2 linked regions of the Notamacropus eugenii genome follow. The protein of the gene in region 1 purifies or fractionates together with the protein of each later gene. This does not show direct contact. Links are inferred from orthologs where the notes say so. Each region holds a gene or a part of one and is shown on either strand. Other genes may lie near its edges.

Evidence for each region.
Region 2: the proteins of PLCG1 (region 1) and RASA1 purify together in Homo sapiens (affinity purification with western blotting; 3 studies listed by BioGRID and IntAct, with this or other methods). This does not show direct contact. The link is inferred for Notamacropus eugenii from reciprocal best matches to the Homo sapiens genes PLCG1 and RASA1.

What each region holds. Positions count from the first base shown.
Region 1 is NC_092872.1:423,909,997-423,918,087, reverse strand, and holds the start of PLCG1 (1-phosphatidylinositol 4,5-bisphosphate phosphodiesterase gamma-1), read left to right. Parts: upstream 1-4,725; 5' UTR 4,726-4,838; intron 4,839-4,916; exon of another isoform or gene 4,917-5,445; intron 5,446-5,769; 5' UTR 5,770-5,889; exon of another isoform or gene 5,890-5,892; intron 5,893-6,112; 5' UTR 6,113-6,257; coding exon 6,258-6,477; intron 6,478-8,091. UniProt on the Homo sapiens protein: Mediates the production of the second messenger molecules diacylglycerol (DAG) and inositol 1,4,5-trisphosphate (IP3). Plays an important role in the regulation of intracellular signaling cascades.
Region 2 is NC_092875.1:454,108,586-454,116,732, reverse strand, and holds the start of RASA1 (ras GTPase-activating protein 1), read left to right. Parts: upstream 1-4,816; 5' UTR 4,817-5,313; coding exon 5,314-5,783; intron 5,784-8,147. UniProt on the Homo sapiens protein: Inhibitory regulator of the Ras-cyclic AMP pathway. Stimulates the GTPase of normal but not oncogenic Ras p21; this stimulation may be further increased in the presence of NCK1.

The sequences.
Region 1 (8,091 bases):
AGAAGGTACTGACTGTGGGGAAAATTCTCCTCCAGGGAGGTACCCTCTATATGCAGCTCTGAAATGAGGCTGACTCCAAAAGCTCAGTCTCTGTTCACCTCTCTGAGTCTCCCCTTCCCTGAATTTCCCATTCCTGACTTCTGACCCCTCTGGGGTTCCCGTCCTTATAGCCTACAACCTGATCCAGCTAGCTGAAAATGTTTCTCTTCCTTCTCAATTTTTTCTGGATAACTTTGTCTGGAACTCTCTTTGGCTTCCATCACATCCTAGCTTGTAAATATATTATACTCACCTTTTTCATGTTGTGTATCTTTCTGGAGAATTCAGGTTTTTGGAAGGATGGAGAGTTTCCTTCTTGTCTTTGTAACTTCCATGCCTAACAGCGCCTTTATTGAAAGGTTATCAAACTGAAGTGAATTGAATGTGATTGAAAGTCTCTGCTCTGGACAACCTTTCCAGGTTTGTTGTATATTACTCAACCAATCCGCAAGCATTTATTAAACACTTACTAAATGTCTGGATCTGCTTGAGGCACCAGGAATATGAGGACAAAACCAAAATGGCCTCTGCCCTTAAGGACTAAGTTCTATTGCGGAAAGCATTCTGTGTGTACGTACAAATGCAAAATATATGCCAAGTAAATGAAAATAGAGGGAGGCACTAACAGCTGGGGTTGGACCAGGGATCAATAAGTGATAGCAGGTGGCTTAACCTGAGCTTTGAAGGAAGCTAAGGATTTTGGAAGACAAGAGTGGCCCATTACAATCATGGGTAACGATAACCTGTATTTTTATTTATTTATTTATTTTTGGTGTGAACGCAATTGAGGTTAAGTGACTTGCTCAGAGTTACACATCTAGTAATCGAGGCCTGAGTTGAACTCAGGTCCTCCTGACTTCACAGCCAGTGCTCTATCCACTTTGCCAAAAGTCACAGAAAGGATGTGGAATCTCATGTGTGAGCAAAGAAAAAAGGATCAGTTTGGGCTGACCAAAAAGTATGGGAAAGGGAATAATGTATGTCTGTAAAGGTAGGTTCCAGCCAGGTTCGTGTGCCAGAGAAGTTTGGACTTTAGCCTAGATGCAATAAAGAGTTACTGGAGCTTTTGGAGCAGGGGAGTGACTAGTCAGACCGGTACTTTAGGAACATCACTTGGGCTGTTGTATGGGTGGATGGAAGAGAAGGGAGCAGTTTAGGGAGGGAATAAGCAGTCACTAAGTATGTTCCACTGAGCTAAGTGCTTTGCAAGTATTATTTCATCTGGCCCTGTGAACCTGGACTGGAACTGGCCTCTAACCTGAGAATGGCCAGAGCCAGACAGAGCAAGCCAGAGGAAGGTGTCAGGGACTAAACAGAAGTTTAATTAATGTTAGAGTGAGGAAAACACTTGTAATCAGAAATCCCAAAGCAACAGGATTAGGCTTTTTTTTCTCTAAGAACTATATACAGATGCATATGATTGTCTTCCAAATTTATTTATCATGGAAAATCAGGCTTTGAGTATGTTTTGGTGATAAGTTCTCAAAATTGGATTATGACTTTATTAATTAAGGATTAATTGGATTTTATACATAAATTATATTGATAATGGTAAAGAAATGAAATTATTTCCCCATTTTTAAAAGTATCTGCCTTATAATTTAAAAGGCAGAAGAGTTCATTTTATAGTTGGACCCTTATCAATTTTATATATATATATATATAAAAACTGAAATTCTCTGAAAGACCAGAGTTATCTAAGAACCTCTAGATTTGGACTATGTAACAGAGAATATACACACATGTACGCATACATACACACATGCATGCATGCATACATACATACATAAACAGAGACAGACATCTATATTGTGGTCCTCACAGTGAGGAGCAGGGCTTGGATCATGATTCAGTAAAGTATATGGAAAAGGAGTAATCAGGACTGTCTACTTGGTGTTCCCCAGATCTCACATTCCACCTCAGTCTTTCTCCTTGAGCCCTCCTCAGTCTTAGACACTGTTATTGATCACTTTCTCCTCCTTGATACTTTCTTTTCTCTAGATTTTCAGCACTCCACTCTCTCCTGGTCTTCCTACTTCTCTGACTGATCATCTCTCTCCTTAGCTGGTTCCTCCTCCAGATCCCACCCTCTGACCATAGGTGGCCCTCAGGGTTCTGTCCTGGGCTCTTTTCTATATTTCTTCACTTGATATCATCAGCTCCCAAGGTTTGAATTACCATCTCTATTCTGATGACTCTCACAATCTACCTATCTTGCCTCACTCAGTCTTTGCTGATCTCCAATATTGCATCTCCAACCGTCTTTCAGACATCTCAGACTGGATATCCCATAGATGTCTTAAACTTGACATGTCCAAAACAGAATTTATTATCTCTCCCCCTCTTCCCCTTCCAGGATAACATTATCCTCCCAGTCCTTCTGAATTGCAGCTTAGGAGTCATCCTGGTTTTCTTCACTATCTCTTACCCATTCCCCTCCCTATATCTAAGTGGTTGCCAAGTCCTATTGATTTCACCTTTGCAATATCTCTTAATTAAGTCCCTTTCTCTCCTCTGACTGCTGCCACTCTAGTGCAGACCTTTGTCACGCCACACCTGGACTATTGCAATAGCCTGCTAGTGGGTTTGCCTGTCTTGGGTGAGTGTCTCTTCACTCCATTCCATCCTCCATTCAGCCACTAAAGTGATTTTCCTAAAGCACGGGTCCAGTCCTGTCACACACAAACCCCTAGCTCTCTGCCTCAGAGCCCTCCACCCCTCCCCCGCCAATAAATTCCAATGGCTCCCTATTGCCTCAAGGAGTAAATACAAAACGAGCCATTTAGCATTCAAATCGCTTCCTAACCTAGCTCCCTCCTGCCTTTCCAGTCGTTTTACACCTTACTTCTCTACCCTCTTGGATCCAGGTACACTGGCCTCCTTTCCATGAACAAGATCCTCCATCTCTCAGTTACAGCCATTTTCTCTGAAAGTACTCCATACTTTCCCTCTTCTGCTGACTACTGACCTCCCTGCCTTCCTTTAAATATCAACTAGAATCCCACTTTTACTGGAATCCTTCCCCAGTGGCTCCTAATTCCAGTGCCTTGCTTCTGTTAATTATTTCCTATTATCCTGTATATAGCTTTGTATATATTTGTTTGCATGATGTCTCCGCCATTAAATTGTAAGTTTCTTGGAGGAAGGAACTGTCTTTTGTCTCCTTTTGTATCCCCCAGCTCTTAGCACAGTACCTGGCACATAGTTGATGTTTAATAAATGTTTATTGATTGATTAATCGTCCCTCCAGGCCTTTGCCTAGACTATCCCTTAAGTCTGGAATGCATGACTTTATCCAGCCTCTTGGAAATCTCTAACTTCCTTCAGGGTTCAGTTAAAGTGCCATTTCTTACTTGAGGCCTCTTCTGATTCCCTTCCAGGTGCTAAAGCCCTTACCCTCAAATTACTTTCTACTGATTTTTGTCCAGCAGAAGACTTGTTCCTAGAAAGCAAGAGTTTTTGTCTTTGTTTTCCCAGGGGCCTAGCCCTGCAAGCCGGCAGCAGGTGAATAGTTGACCATAAACAAATAAATGTTTGTTAAATGAATTTAGGAATGTAGAAAATCTTCACCTCAGCCTAGGGGGTGAATTCTTCACTTGGAAGTGTTCTACACATTGACTTTTGGATGGAATTTCCATATTGACTGTGGGAGCGCCCTAGGCACAATGTAGTACTCTCCCATTGACCTGGAGTTGGATTAAACCAGGAAGCTAGGTGGTGAAGTGGATAGAGCGCTGGCCGTGGAGTCGGGAAGACTCACCTTCTGGAGTTCAGATCTGGGGTCAGTTACTAGCTAGCTGTGTGACCATGGTCTTCTTCAGCAACGAAGAACGAACATACAAACAGCTGTGTGACCAAGTCACTTCACCCTGTTCGCCTCAGTTTCCTCATTTGTAAAATGAGCTGGAAAAGAAATGGCAAACCATTCCAGTATCTCTGCCAAAATGAAAATAAAACAAAAATCAAGTGGGGTCACAAAGGATTGAACAACTGAAAAATGACTGAACAACAAAATGATTGAACCCCACCTTTGACATTTTTGGTCCAAATCTATGACCAGGAGAGACCACAGCGGTCTGGAGGATAGAGAGCTAGCTATGAGTCAAGTTCTGACAGATACATATTGCCAATTTGACCCTGAACCAGTGTCTTGGACAGGTTTCTTAACATGGGGTTGGACTCCATGGATAGATTTTAGGAGGACTGTGAACATGGATGGAAAAAAAAATATAATCTTTGATTTTAACTGACCCCTAAATAAAATTTCCTATAATTATGAATTTTTAAATAAAATATTTTGAGGAATTCATAAGCGTCACTAGACTGTCAAAGGAGTCCACGGCACACATCTAAAGATTAAGAAACTGAGAAGGCGCCTTCCCTATTTCACTGAAATCACAGATCCAGTCCCTGACGACCACCATAGTGGGGAAAATGCGAAGGCAGGCCTTGAGCCGGGTACCGGGCGGGAATTAATCAATCAATCCGCAAACCCCAAGGGGCGGGAGGAGAAGGTAGGCAAAACCTAATCTGGACAATCAGGGAGTGACCTCAGCCAGGGCCGCCTCCAACACTCAAAGGGAAAAGGGGGTGGTGGAGGTGGAGAGCTTGTCAATCAGTTACCCCCCTGGCCAATCAACAGGTGGCCCCGCCTTCCCAAGCCCCTTTTCCGTCCTTTACTCCACCCTCTTACCCCCCTAAGAAAAAGAGAGAGAGGGTCGTATCTGTGCTCTGCGACCAGCTACTCGACACGGTTCTCCTCCCTTTCCATTTTGCAGAGCTGAATTAAACGCGCTCAGGTGAGCGAGGGAGGGGGCGTTGTCTAGGGGAATTCCCCCTCCCTCCCGGAGTTAAGCCTGGTGTCCCTTTAAGGGGCTGGGTTCCCCCCACCCCCCCACCCCGGCCGCTTTGTCTTTCTGAGCGCCGGGAAGGGGGAGCGTCTTCGTTCCTATTCGCCCGCCCGGCCCCTCTCCCCGCTCCCCTCTCCCTTTGCAGCTAGAGCAACGAACACCACCGGATGTGGGGCGGGGGAGGCCGGGGGCAGCGGGGGCCCGAGAGCCCGGGGGCACTTAGTAGACCCTGCCGGGCTCCTGCCCCAGAGACCGAGAGAGAGAGAGAGAGAGAGAGAGAGAGAGAGAGAGAGAGAGACAGAGAGAGGGGGAGGGGGGGGAGAGAGAGAAAGAGAGAGGAGACAGGGAAAGACTGGCAGACAGGGAGAGGCCGGGAAGCAAGGGAGGCAGATTGGGAACCGCCCTGCAGCTCGGCTCCGTTCTCCCCCACTTCTTGAGCCAATGCACGTGTTGATTTAGGGGCAAAAGACCCTCACTCCCCATCAGCCCCTTCCTCCCCACCCCACTCAAGCAGAGGGAAGAGAGAGAGGGAAGACAGAGGGAAAGGCAGGCCCAGGTAGCAGCTGTGGCCGGGATGTGAAACTGACTCAGGCTGTAGGGTGGGTCTGGGTAGTTGTGCGACTGTTTGTGTAAGACTGTCCCAGGGACTTGTGTGCCACTGTTTGTGTGGTTCTGTTACACTCTGTGACTTCCATTATTTGTACGTGGCTGTTTCTGCGTGTGGGGGGTGAGGGGTGGGGGGTGTGTGTGGCTGTATTTTAGGGTGTACGAAGGACTATTGCAGGGTGTGCGACTGGGTTTGTGTTTCGGGGTGTGTGTGTGAGAGAGAGAGAGAGTGTGTGTGTGACAGAGTGTGAGACGCTGCTCTGCTCTTTTTCAGCCATTACTTCCTGAGTTTTCGGGACATCTTATCGGCCTCGAATCGATGCAGAGGCTTGCAAGATCAGAAGACTGACAAGTGGCTAGGGTGCCAGACTCGGACAGTGCGGGCTGTTGGAAGGTGGTCCGTAGGACTACCCTCGGGAGGCTGGGAGGGAAGGACGCCTCCTGGGTGGGGGGCGAACAGCCCCGCCTGCTGGGGGCGGGAAGGGGGGGGGGTCTTTGTTCGGGCCGGGGAGGCGGGGTCTGCGCGGGCGGGGCTCTGGGGGAGGGGGCATCAGTCTCCAGGCGCCTCCTTGGTTAACTCGGCCCCTTCCTCCTCCTCCTCCTCCCCGCCCCCGCAGGAGTCGCTGCCGCGGCGCGGATTGCTGGATTGTTGCTGGCAGACGCAGCGCTCGTCCAGACGCTGCCTCCTGAGCGCCCTCCGGGGCTCCCCGGCCTGCAGTTTGAGACAAACTCGGGTCTGGAGGAGAGCAGGAGATCCCCGGAATGATGGCAGGGGTGGGGGCCCCCTTCGCCAACGGCTGCGGGTCCTGCGCCCCGTCGGAGGCCGAGGCTCTGCACCTCTGCAGGAGTTTGGAAGTGGGCACCGTCATGACCTTGTTCTACTCCAAGAAATCCCAGCGACCAGAGAGGAAAACCTTCCAGGTCAAGCTGGAGACCCGGCAGATCACGTGGAGTCGTGGGGCAGATAAAATCGAAGGAGCGGGTAGGTGTTTGCGGCCCTGGCCCCTTTGCGTACCTTCTCTGGTTGGAGGAGAACTCGGATCGTTCCGTCCAGCTGTTTGTCCAGGGCTGGGGGTGGAGATATTCATGCAAACTTTGTGCGTTTCTGGCTCTCTCCCGCCGTCGTTTGCTGCTTCTCAGAATTTGGTTGCTTTGGGGAGGGGGCAGGGGCTAAGGGCCTTCACCCTTACCCAAGCGATTTTTATTCGTCTCGCAGGCAATGGATCAGGTACTGTCTGCTATGACGATTCATCCAGGGAAAACTGGGCCCAGGTGCTCTGAAAGACACCTTCCCACCCCCTTGACTATAGGCCCAGGGCATAGATGTGTGTGCTTCTCTCCTTCAGGATAACCAGAGTGTTTGGGGGGGGGGGGGGAGGAGCGGGGGAAATGAATCCCGGGGTTGGGGGATAAGGATTACCGCGGACGTTCCCCCCAGGCAAGAAGAGGGGTAGCTTTGTCTCCCGGCGGTTCTCAGCTGTGGGCCAGAAGAGGAAAGAAACAGCCACATTGTATCGCTTAGGTTGTTACATTGTTACTGTTAGAGTGGGGGGGGGGGGGCAGGGAGGCCGGCAGGCCAGCTTGTTGGCGCCTGCCTTCCCCACCTCCCTCCTCTTCCCGATCCCAAAGGGAAGGAAGCTGTGTTTGGGAAGGCCTGGGAGGGAGAAAAGAGAAGGCCTCCCCTAGCTCCCTCCTTCCTGCTGCACCTTTTGTCCTAACACTGAATGTCAGCCTAGCCTGGGTCAGGCCCACTGAGAGGGGCAGGGGGGAATTTCTGGGAGTTAGGCCCAGTTTATAAGGAAGGCTCCCTGGCTAGGAGAGTGGGGTACCTCCCTTAATTAGGGTGCATTCTGATCAATCCAGCCCTTCTAGTCTGGTAGACTCTAAGGAAGCATACTCCTTGTCAGTCCAAGGGGGTTGGCTTCGGTCTACACTCATGTAATTGGCTCCTTCATTGTAGGGTGGTAGTTGGAATGATATCCAGGACTTTTCTTAGAACTGTATCTCCCTCCTTCCAGATGGGAGCCAAGAAGTGATACTCAAAGGAGATGCCCAAAGAACTTCCAAGGGGAGGTTGTACCTGGTGGGAGAAAGAATCTCAGAATGGGCAGTTAATTAGGAAGGAGTGTCTGAAGTGAGTTGGGGATTCTGGGCCTAAAGAGGGAGAACTTTGGCTGTGGCAGACTACAGAAGGGCTGAGGCCTCTTTTTCCCTTGTGCTCGATCTGGGCTGAGGGTAGGGGGAGGCATAGATTATATCATGGTAGACAGAGTTGTGACTGTTGAGGTCCAAACACGAACCTTAGGAGGAATCTCTCCTAAGACAGAGAGTTAGAGAATTGAAGGGGTTGAGATGCTACTTCTCTACTCTAGGCATGTTAGGTGGTCAGTCAGACCCTCTAAATCAATGGGTACCCCCTTCTCAGGCCCTTGATCAAGGCCTTATTTCTATTGCTCTGAGGGATGCCCAGCACTAGACTGATGTGTTTGTGTGAGTCTGAAGCCTATGTTCTTCTGGCAGCAGGGTGACTGATGTTTGGGGGAGGAGAGAGGCACCGAACTTGGGGAGAGTTGGGATGGAGCCAGGAGCCTCAAGG
Region 2 (8,147 bases), on another chromosome or scaffold:
ATGTCCAGTACTGAGATTCATGCCTCTCTACAATGCTTGGAAGTCAGTTAAATTGAATTAAATGAATTACTTTGCCATTTTCCTCTTATCTGTTTTTTTTTCCCTGTTACCTTCTAAATATATTCAAATTTGTGCCTCTAAAGAAAGTGAAATAAAGATTACAATGGAAAAAGGACCTCTAGGACATAAAAAGTGTAAGACTAGCCATAGTGTTAAACTTATTAATATAACTTCTGAAAACCTAGAATTGTGTCTGTATAAGACTACACACTAGAGCTAGGATTGTGTTCTTCAGACACTGATGCAAATCTCTTACAACTGGCTCTTCTTCTCCTTCATGTTCATCATATAATACTCTAAACCCTACCCATCTCCTTAAGAATGATTTAGTGGAAAGAACACTCACTGGATTTGGAGTCTGAGAACTGGCTACAAATACTTGTCAAATACAGTCAAATACTGGCTACAGTACTTGCTACCTGTGTGTCTTCAAGAAAGTTACCTGATGATATGTGTCATGTATTATTAACTTTCTAGGAATGATATAAATTGTACTTATAGCATTGCCTATGAAATTACAACTTTAACTTGATACTCAATAGTATCAATACATGTTTTATTCCAGGATGAAATCAACCCATTTTTCAAGATGCCACTGAGCACTGAGAATAACTCATATTATAGACTCTTTTGTAGCTAATTCTTTTCATTGATATAATATTCGATTTTTTCCTTTTCATTAAACAACGTCTGGTGTATGTATATAATATGGCAAATTATTCACTTAAACATTTTAATCTCATTTTGCAATTTCTCTCCTACAATTTCCTCTGGATGGTTTGTTTTATTTCTTAGCACCTCCCTATGTAATATTGTCTCTGAATTTCATTAACAGATTGTTTTAACAGATGTTATAAAAGAACAGACTTAACACCCACTCTTACTATACCCCAGGACACCTCTCTCTAACTAGATACTGACACACAGTTGCATATTGTCACTTTGTTGACTTGCGGCTGGTTTTCTACTCTCCTGTCAGCATCACTTACATCTAAGCCAAGTGATTCAGAAGCTTCTGAGTAAAAAAAAAACAAAAAAACAGACAAAAGAAGAAAAAGGGGAAATTAACAACAAAAGCCAAGAAACAAAGGAAATAAACACAACTAAGGAAAATATTTTCACACACGTGAAAAATCATAGAAAAAACCCAAATATTCAGAACATGAAGCGTATTGGAAGAGAAGTAAAAGATGAAGAAAAACTATCTTATGACATTTCTTCTCATCCTTCGAAGAAGGAGCCTCACTTAAACATCAGCATACATTTAAAAATATCATGCAAAGGAAAAAAATGTATTTTGCAATGTTTTTCAGAACAAGAAATGCAGTTATCAGAAGCCTTTCTGTTGAAACAATCTATGTAGTAAAGCTTTCAAAAATATTTTTGAGGGGTTAAATATAAACTGTTCTGTTCAGTGTTTCTCATAAAGGAGACTGTGAAAAAAGACAGTTGTTAAGAGACAAATACATATTAGGAATTTAAATCTGGACTGGAAGTCACTACTAGAAAAAGTGTCAAAACACATAGCTCACAGCACTCCTGAGAGCAGCAGAACCAGATTAAAATGTAATTGGGAAATATTTTAAAAATAAACAAAATACAATAAAATATAGATTAATATTACATTTTAAACTGTCAACACATGGCCTGCAGGGATCTTTATGTACAAATGAGAGGTATGCACTTCTAGTTGAGTTTCACATTACTTCAGTAGTAGTGTGCTAGGCATTATGTAGAAGATAAAAAAAAAAAGACAACCTTTTCTACTTACAGTGTAGTAATGTATCTGAAAACATTTATAGAAAAATATAAAGCAGCAGTGTTAGATTCTGGTTCCTTGTTTATAAGTGCTAGAACTCCAAGGAGGAAAAAAATCTGACTCTACCCTATGAAGTTGGGGGAGGTGGGACATGTGTGTGCTGTGAGAAGTATTTCCTTATCCTTCAAAGTGTAATAGAGATGGGAACTCTCTGATCACTGTTCTCAATTCCTGTATCCCAAGGTGGTCCACAGCTACAAGTAGCAGCTCAGTACTTCCTAATATGCTCCTTTCTCTCCCTTACTGTGATACTACTGGGCGAAACTTTCCTTTTTTCAGATCTTTTTCTCCAGTCAATTCTGGCTGGTTTGAATGTCAAGATCCCTCAATGAATTCCTAAATAAATTTCAATAGCTCCACCCTTAATCCTCTCCACTCCTCTCCTTCTCTCTCCTTCCCCGCCCCACCCCCCCAACCCCAGTGGTACATGGTCAAGTTGCTCCAGATTTATTTTGTACAAAGTGTACTGTAGGCAAACTAATGAAATAAGTATCCATTCCTCCAGTGTCTCCAATCATCCCTTCCTGTGTCCTTCCCTCCTTTGGGTCCTTTCCCCATTTCTCCCCAGGGTATCAATATTCTTCTGACAGTTACTTCATTTAGAAAGGAAATTTACCTAAAAAACAAATTCATATTATGCTGTTAGGAATTTAATATTACCTTTCTCAAAGGTATTTTCATTAAAAAGGGGAGAAAGGAATGTAGAGGGTAAAGCTTAAACCACTTGAATGAATCAAATGCTGTTGTAATTTCAGATGGATGTATAAAGACTTTCTGGTAACGTTTAACAACTGGCTCAAAAAATTGGAGTGCTTTAAAAAGCACTTTTAAATTTAGTCTGCATAATTATCATTTTCTTCTACAAAATTAACAAAATAATGAATTATACTCAATGTGTAGCATTTGATGATTTTTGAAGTGTGACTGCTCACATTGAAAATTTAACAATTAGTTCTCAGAGCCTAGGAGATGGGTCAAGTATTCCTCCTCCTTACCAAAAGACAACTGCTTATTTTGCCCATGCACACACTCCTTCTTACCAATGAGTTACTCTTTTTAGCTTTTACTGCTAATGGAAAAATATCCTTTGCTATATAAAGAGACTAAAAGTTTCTTTCAAGAATTTATTGGAAAATTTGGAAGAAACGTTATGCAAAGAAACTTTAAGGATAAGTAATTTTCCCTCAACTAAGTAATGCCACAACCCTCCTGTACCTTTAGTGACTGTAGCAGAAAAATTCATTTGCCTACGCCAACTAGGTGATGAGCTTCCTCAAAATTGGCTAGGCTAGTCCTTGCACAGTACATACAGTCAAATAGGGTCCTTACTCTAAGCCTTTCCAGCGTGGTAAGACCTGCTAGAACTTGTGATATCTGGCATAGTGTTCAAGACCCTCTCCATGCCAGGATGAGGCATGGGAGAACTTTGGTGGTGGTATGCACAGATATCTTTCACTATTAGTTCCTCTGGCCTGTTTCAGCTTGCAGAGGTTGCCGATTTTCAGTCTTCTAATTGTCTGTCCTGGCACATTCAATAGAATGGTGCCTGCCTAGAACTCTTTGGGGCAGGGGTTAAGACAATCAGTTCTTTAGTTTAGTTTTAAGTATTTTGCTTCCTTCCCTGGATCAGACCACCGTGGTTACTTGTCTTAATTAACCTGATGAGAAAAGGCACAAAGAAACCGAGCACCCTAGACTAAGAAAGAAAAGCATTAAGTCAGTCAACCAGCCGATAAGCATTTATTAAGCTGATACAATGTGTCAGGTAGTGTGGATACAATGAAGCTAGGAAAAGATTAAGCGATTTTACTGCCCAAGGTCACAAAGGCAACGGGTGTTTTCTCTTGGGTGCTCTTTCCACCTTTTTAATGTTTTTTTGATCTTTTCAGATCCTATCCCAAGAGCACGGTTTCCGCCTCCTGACTTCCTTTAAGTTACAGCTAAAAACTTCTGTGGGCAGCTTTCCCCCATCCTCTTTAATTCAAGGCAGGCTTCCCCATTTGTACAGTTATTTGTACATGGTTCCCACCTTTCGACGGTGACTTCCTCGACAGCAGGAGCTGCCTTTCACTTTTCTGCATCACCAGCGCTTAGCTTACAGTGGGTGCCTAATAAATGTGTATTTACTGACGGACTTCTAAGCTCTTCCTTTTGGGCTTCTGGTTATTAAGAGTATTTAGGAGCCCGAGGGAAGGGTCTGGCAGCCCATTTAACAGCTCGCTCCGAGGGCCGCCAGGAGACCCCCTGGGTGTGGCTCACTTCACGCCCGCTGGGTAGTCTAGGAGCGCCCCATCCCCAAACCAGGAATCCCCTGGAGCGCATCCTCTCCGGTCCCCGCCCCCTCCAGCCAGCAGCCAGCAGCCAGCTCCGGGACCGGACCGGGCGGCTGGGCTGGCCGAGGAGCACAGGGGAAGTCTGGGAACAAAGCGACTCGTGGGCCGCGGGAGCATTTGAACAATGCCTCTGGAGGCGCGCGCGCCGCCGCCGCGAACCAGGCGGACAATTCAGTGGCCGCCCGCCACGCGCCCGGCTGGCAGGAGTGGGGGCCGAGCCGCGAACGCGCGCGCGCCCACCTCTTCCTTCCCTCTCCTCCCCCGCCCCTTCCTTTTCCTCCTCCATCAGCCCTACTCCCGGACTCTCCCCGCGCCCAAAGCTTTCCCAGGGCGCGCCTGCGCACAAGCGGCCCTCTGCTTTTCTTTTTTTTCTTCTCCCCCTCCTCCCCCCTTCCCTTTCTTTCCCCCTCCGGCCTCCCCTCCCCGTCACCCTTTCTCCTCTCTGTAGTTCCTCTCACTGCGAGCTCCAGGTCGGGAATCGCGACTCGGGCTGTGCTCCGCGCGGTCTCCCGCCCCCACCCCCTCCCTCCCTCCTCTCCTCCCCGGCCCTCCCTCCTCCTCCGGCCCCGTGGAGGATGAAGCCGCGGCGGCAGCGGCAGCAGCGCCAGCGGCGGCGGCGGCTGCTGCGGTGGGGGTGGCCGGGACTGGGGCGGTGAAGAGGCGGCCGCGGTGGCGGTGGTGGCGGCGGCGGCCCCGGCTCGCTTCCCCTTCTTCCCGTGCTCCTTAGTTAGTTACCGAGCCGGGAAGTTTTCTTTTGTGTGCGTGTGTGAGTGTGTGAGTGCGAGTGCGCGCGCGCCTTCGGACGGTCTGCGCGGGGGCGTGTGCGCGCCTCGGCCGGGCCGGGGTCGCGGGCGGGTGTTTTTTCCCCTCCTCTCTTTCCGTAGCCGGTCAGGGCCGTTCCGGGGCGCCCGGGCTGCAGCCCCAGGGGCTCCTCGGGCCGGAGGGCGGGCGGGCTCCGGCCTTTTGTTGTTGTTTCCTCCGCGGCCCGGGGAGCTGAGGGGGGGGCCCGCCGGGGAGGGGCGGCCAGGACCCGGGGCCCTGTGGCCCCCGGGGCTCCCGGACGGGCAGGGCCAGGCAGGGCAGGGCCGAGCGGGCTCCAACATGATGGCGGCCGAGGCGGCCGGGAGTGAGGAGGGCGGTCCGGCGACCGCAGGGGCGGGAGGCGGCGGAGGCGGCCCGGCCTCGGCCGCCGACCCCGGCCCTTGCGCCACGGTGTGTCGGGTCAGGACCCCTGCGGCCCTGCCCTGTCCGGTGCCCTCCTGCCCGGGCCCGGCGCCCGGGCTGGGGGGCCCCGCTTTGTGCTCGGCTCTGGGAGCCGGGCCTGGGGCGGGAGGGGTCCCCGCCGCCGCGGCCGGCCCCCAGGGGGACGCCGCCCCCTCCAAGGGTGCCCCCGTGCCCGCCGACGCCCCCGGCCCGGGGGGCTTCCCGCCTCTGCCGCCGCCGCCGCCGCAGCAGCTGCCCGCCCTCCTAGGCGGGGGCCCGGGGACCGTGGACGAAGGCGACTCCCTGGACGGACCCGAGTACGAGGAGGAGGAGGTGGCCATCCCTCTGAACGCGCCCCCGACCAACCAGTGAGTCCGGAGCCGGGCGGGTGGGGGAGGCCGGGGTCGTCCTTCCTGAGGGGTCGCCCCCCCGGACTGGTCTGGAAACCGACCGTTTGGGGGGGACCCTGCGGGCGTGCTCCCCGCGCCTGGTGCCTTTAGGATGAGCCCTTGGGGAAGGCGCAGAGTTTGGGGAGATGCCCGCAGGGCAGCACGGCCCCCGGGTGGGAAGCGGGTCAGTGGGGCTGCTGGACCAACTGCCTGGGTGAAAGGGTGCCAACCCAAACTTGTGGGCGAGCGAGGCGGGGAAGGGCTTTGCAGTTTTGGGAGAAGAGGAATAATTTCAGGAAGCAGTGCCTCCCATTCGTGGTAGGGGATTCAGAGTTTTGAGTTATTACAGCTTTTTTTCCTTCCCAAATACTGTTCTTTTACTGAGACACCCATTCAGTACAGTACTTGTTGAATTGGGAAGAAAGGGAGAAAAGTTTATGCTTCCTTTCGTCGTATTGATAGCTTGCAATATTCCAGTAATCACCTGAAAATTAAATTCGCAATCCCAGGAGAATCTGTTTTTATGGGTGGTACTGCTACTGTATGGAGTGAGCAGTATTAATTTAATTGCTTCATCAAATGATACTGTTTGGATCCTGAGTTTAAAGAGATGTGGGACTTGGGGTTAGAGAAGAAAACTTCAGAAGGAGTGTAACCCTGGCATTCTAAACATTTTTATGACACTTCTCTGTTAGTTTAAATGGAGGCTTTGAATCATACTAGGCTTAATGTGTGACAGAACCAGAAAGATTTAAGTTAAAAATCTGTGCAGGGAAATAATTGGAACACATGACTTACGATATTTTGATTTTAAGCTACTTTAGAAGAGTTTAAGTGGATTATTCTTAAAATTAATTAGGAAAATATGCTGTAATGCTCAACACAGTAAAGCAGGATTCTTTTGATCTTTTTTTGTCAGTGCCCATTCTGATTTTTAGAGCAGAAATATAGAATTAAATTCTATTTATAAAGCCAGGACAAAAAGTTGTATTTCTGATGACCCAGTCCAGAGTGCAGTATTAAGATCAAATTTTATGATTTTAGGATAGCAGGTATGTGTTCCAAATTTGAGTGGTAGGAATAATAACCCTAATTTCAACCTTCTTTTACAATTAAAAACTTTTTCCTGTCCGAATATAATGTTTACCATTTTTTATCAAAAATAAGAAGTGTTTTTTGTACTGTATGACTAGTCTGCTGGATCACCATAGATTTAAGTTGTCAGTTTCATATCTTTAGTAGTCTTAACAGCCCAAACATACTAAGAGATGAAAATTAACAGTAGAAAACTGAGTTTGCAAAGGACTATTTTTTTGTCATGAATATGTATAATTTGAAAAGGCAATAGTTAAATGATGCTGAGTCTCTGGAAGAAAATTTACACTCTTTTGAACATCATCTATTCCCTCAGAGATTTTTGCAGTCCTCACTGAGTGTTGTAAAAATAGGTTATTTGGGGGCTGTTTTTGAAAATATTATGAAAGTTGTATTAATTTTCTTAACTATGTGTCAGATTGTAGCGACATTAAGCATTGTTTTTAAGATAGGCTAATAATTTTGTAGAATGATAGGAACTTGCTAAAAATTCACATGGTAAATAGTTTCAAGAAATGAGCTCACTTCTTGTGAGAATTTTAATAACACTAACGTTTGGCAAAATTTTTACTTTAAAAACAAAAATGTGAACTTGTAATAATAGCCTGCACTTATACAGCATTTTAAGATTTACAAAATGCTTTCTTTACAGTTGAGGTAGGTGCTCAGATATTTATTGGTCAGATGTTATTTTGTTTGTGTAAGTCTTACTATTTCTGAAATAAGCCATGTTTTAATATAGTCTGTAGTTGATTTAGTAAAATAGAATAATGAGCTGGAATCTTAGCTTATTATGCTATTGTCGTTCATGCCTCTGACCTGGTCAGGGTGTGGGACCTCCTTTGAGATAAAAAGATATTTTTGTAGCTGTACCCCATTGGAAGGGAAAACCAAGCAGCTCTTATGTAAAATATTGCTGTCTACATTAATATTTAGACTTCTCACCGGATTTAACTTTTTTGTGCTTAAAACCACAAATGACAACTTGTTAAAATCTGGTTCAGACTTTTATTGTCTGTGTAACCTTGGGCAGGTTATTTATCCTTTGTCTACCTCATTTATAGGTGAGTTTTATCATCTGTAAAATGGGCATAATAATAGCACCTACCTTTCAGGATTGCTGTTGTGTGTATCAAAAGAGAAATTTGTAGAGTGCTTTGCAATTCTTAGGACACTATATACATGCTAGCTATTATTACGAATATACTTTGTTTTGTTGCTTTAAAACATTATAGAAATTCATAAAGC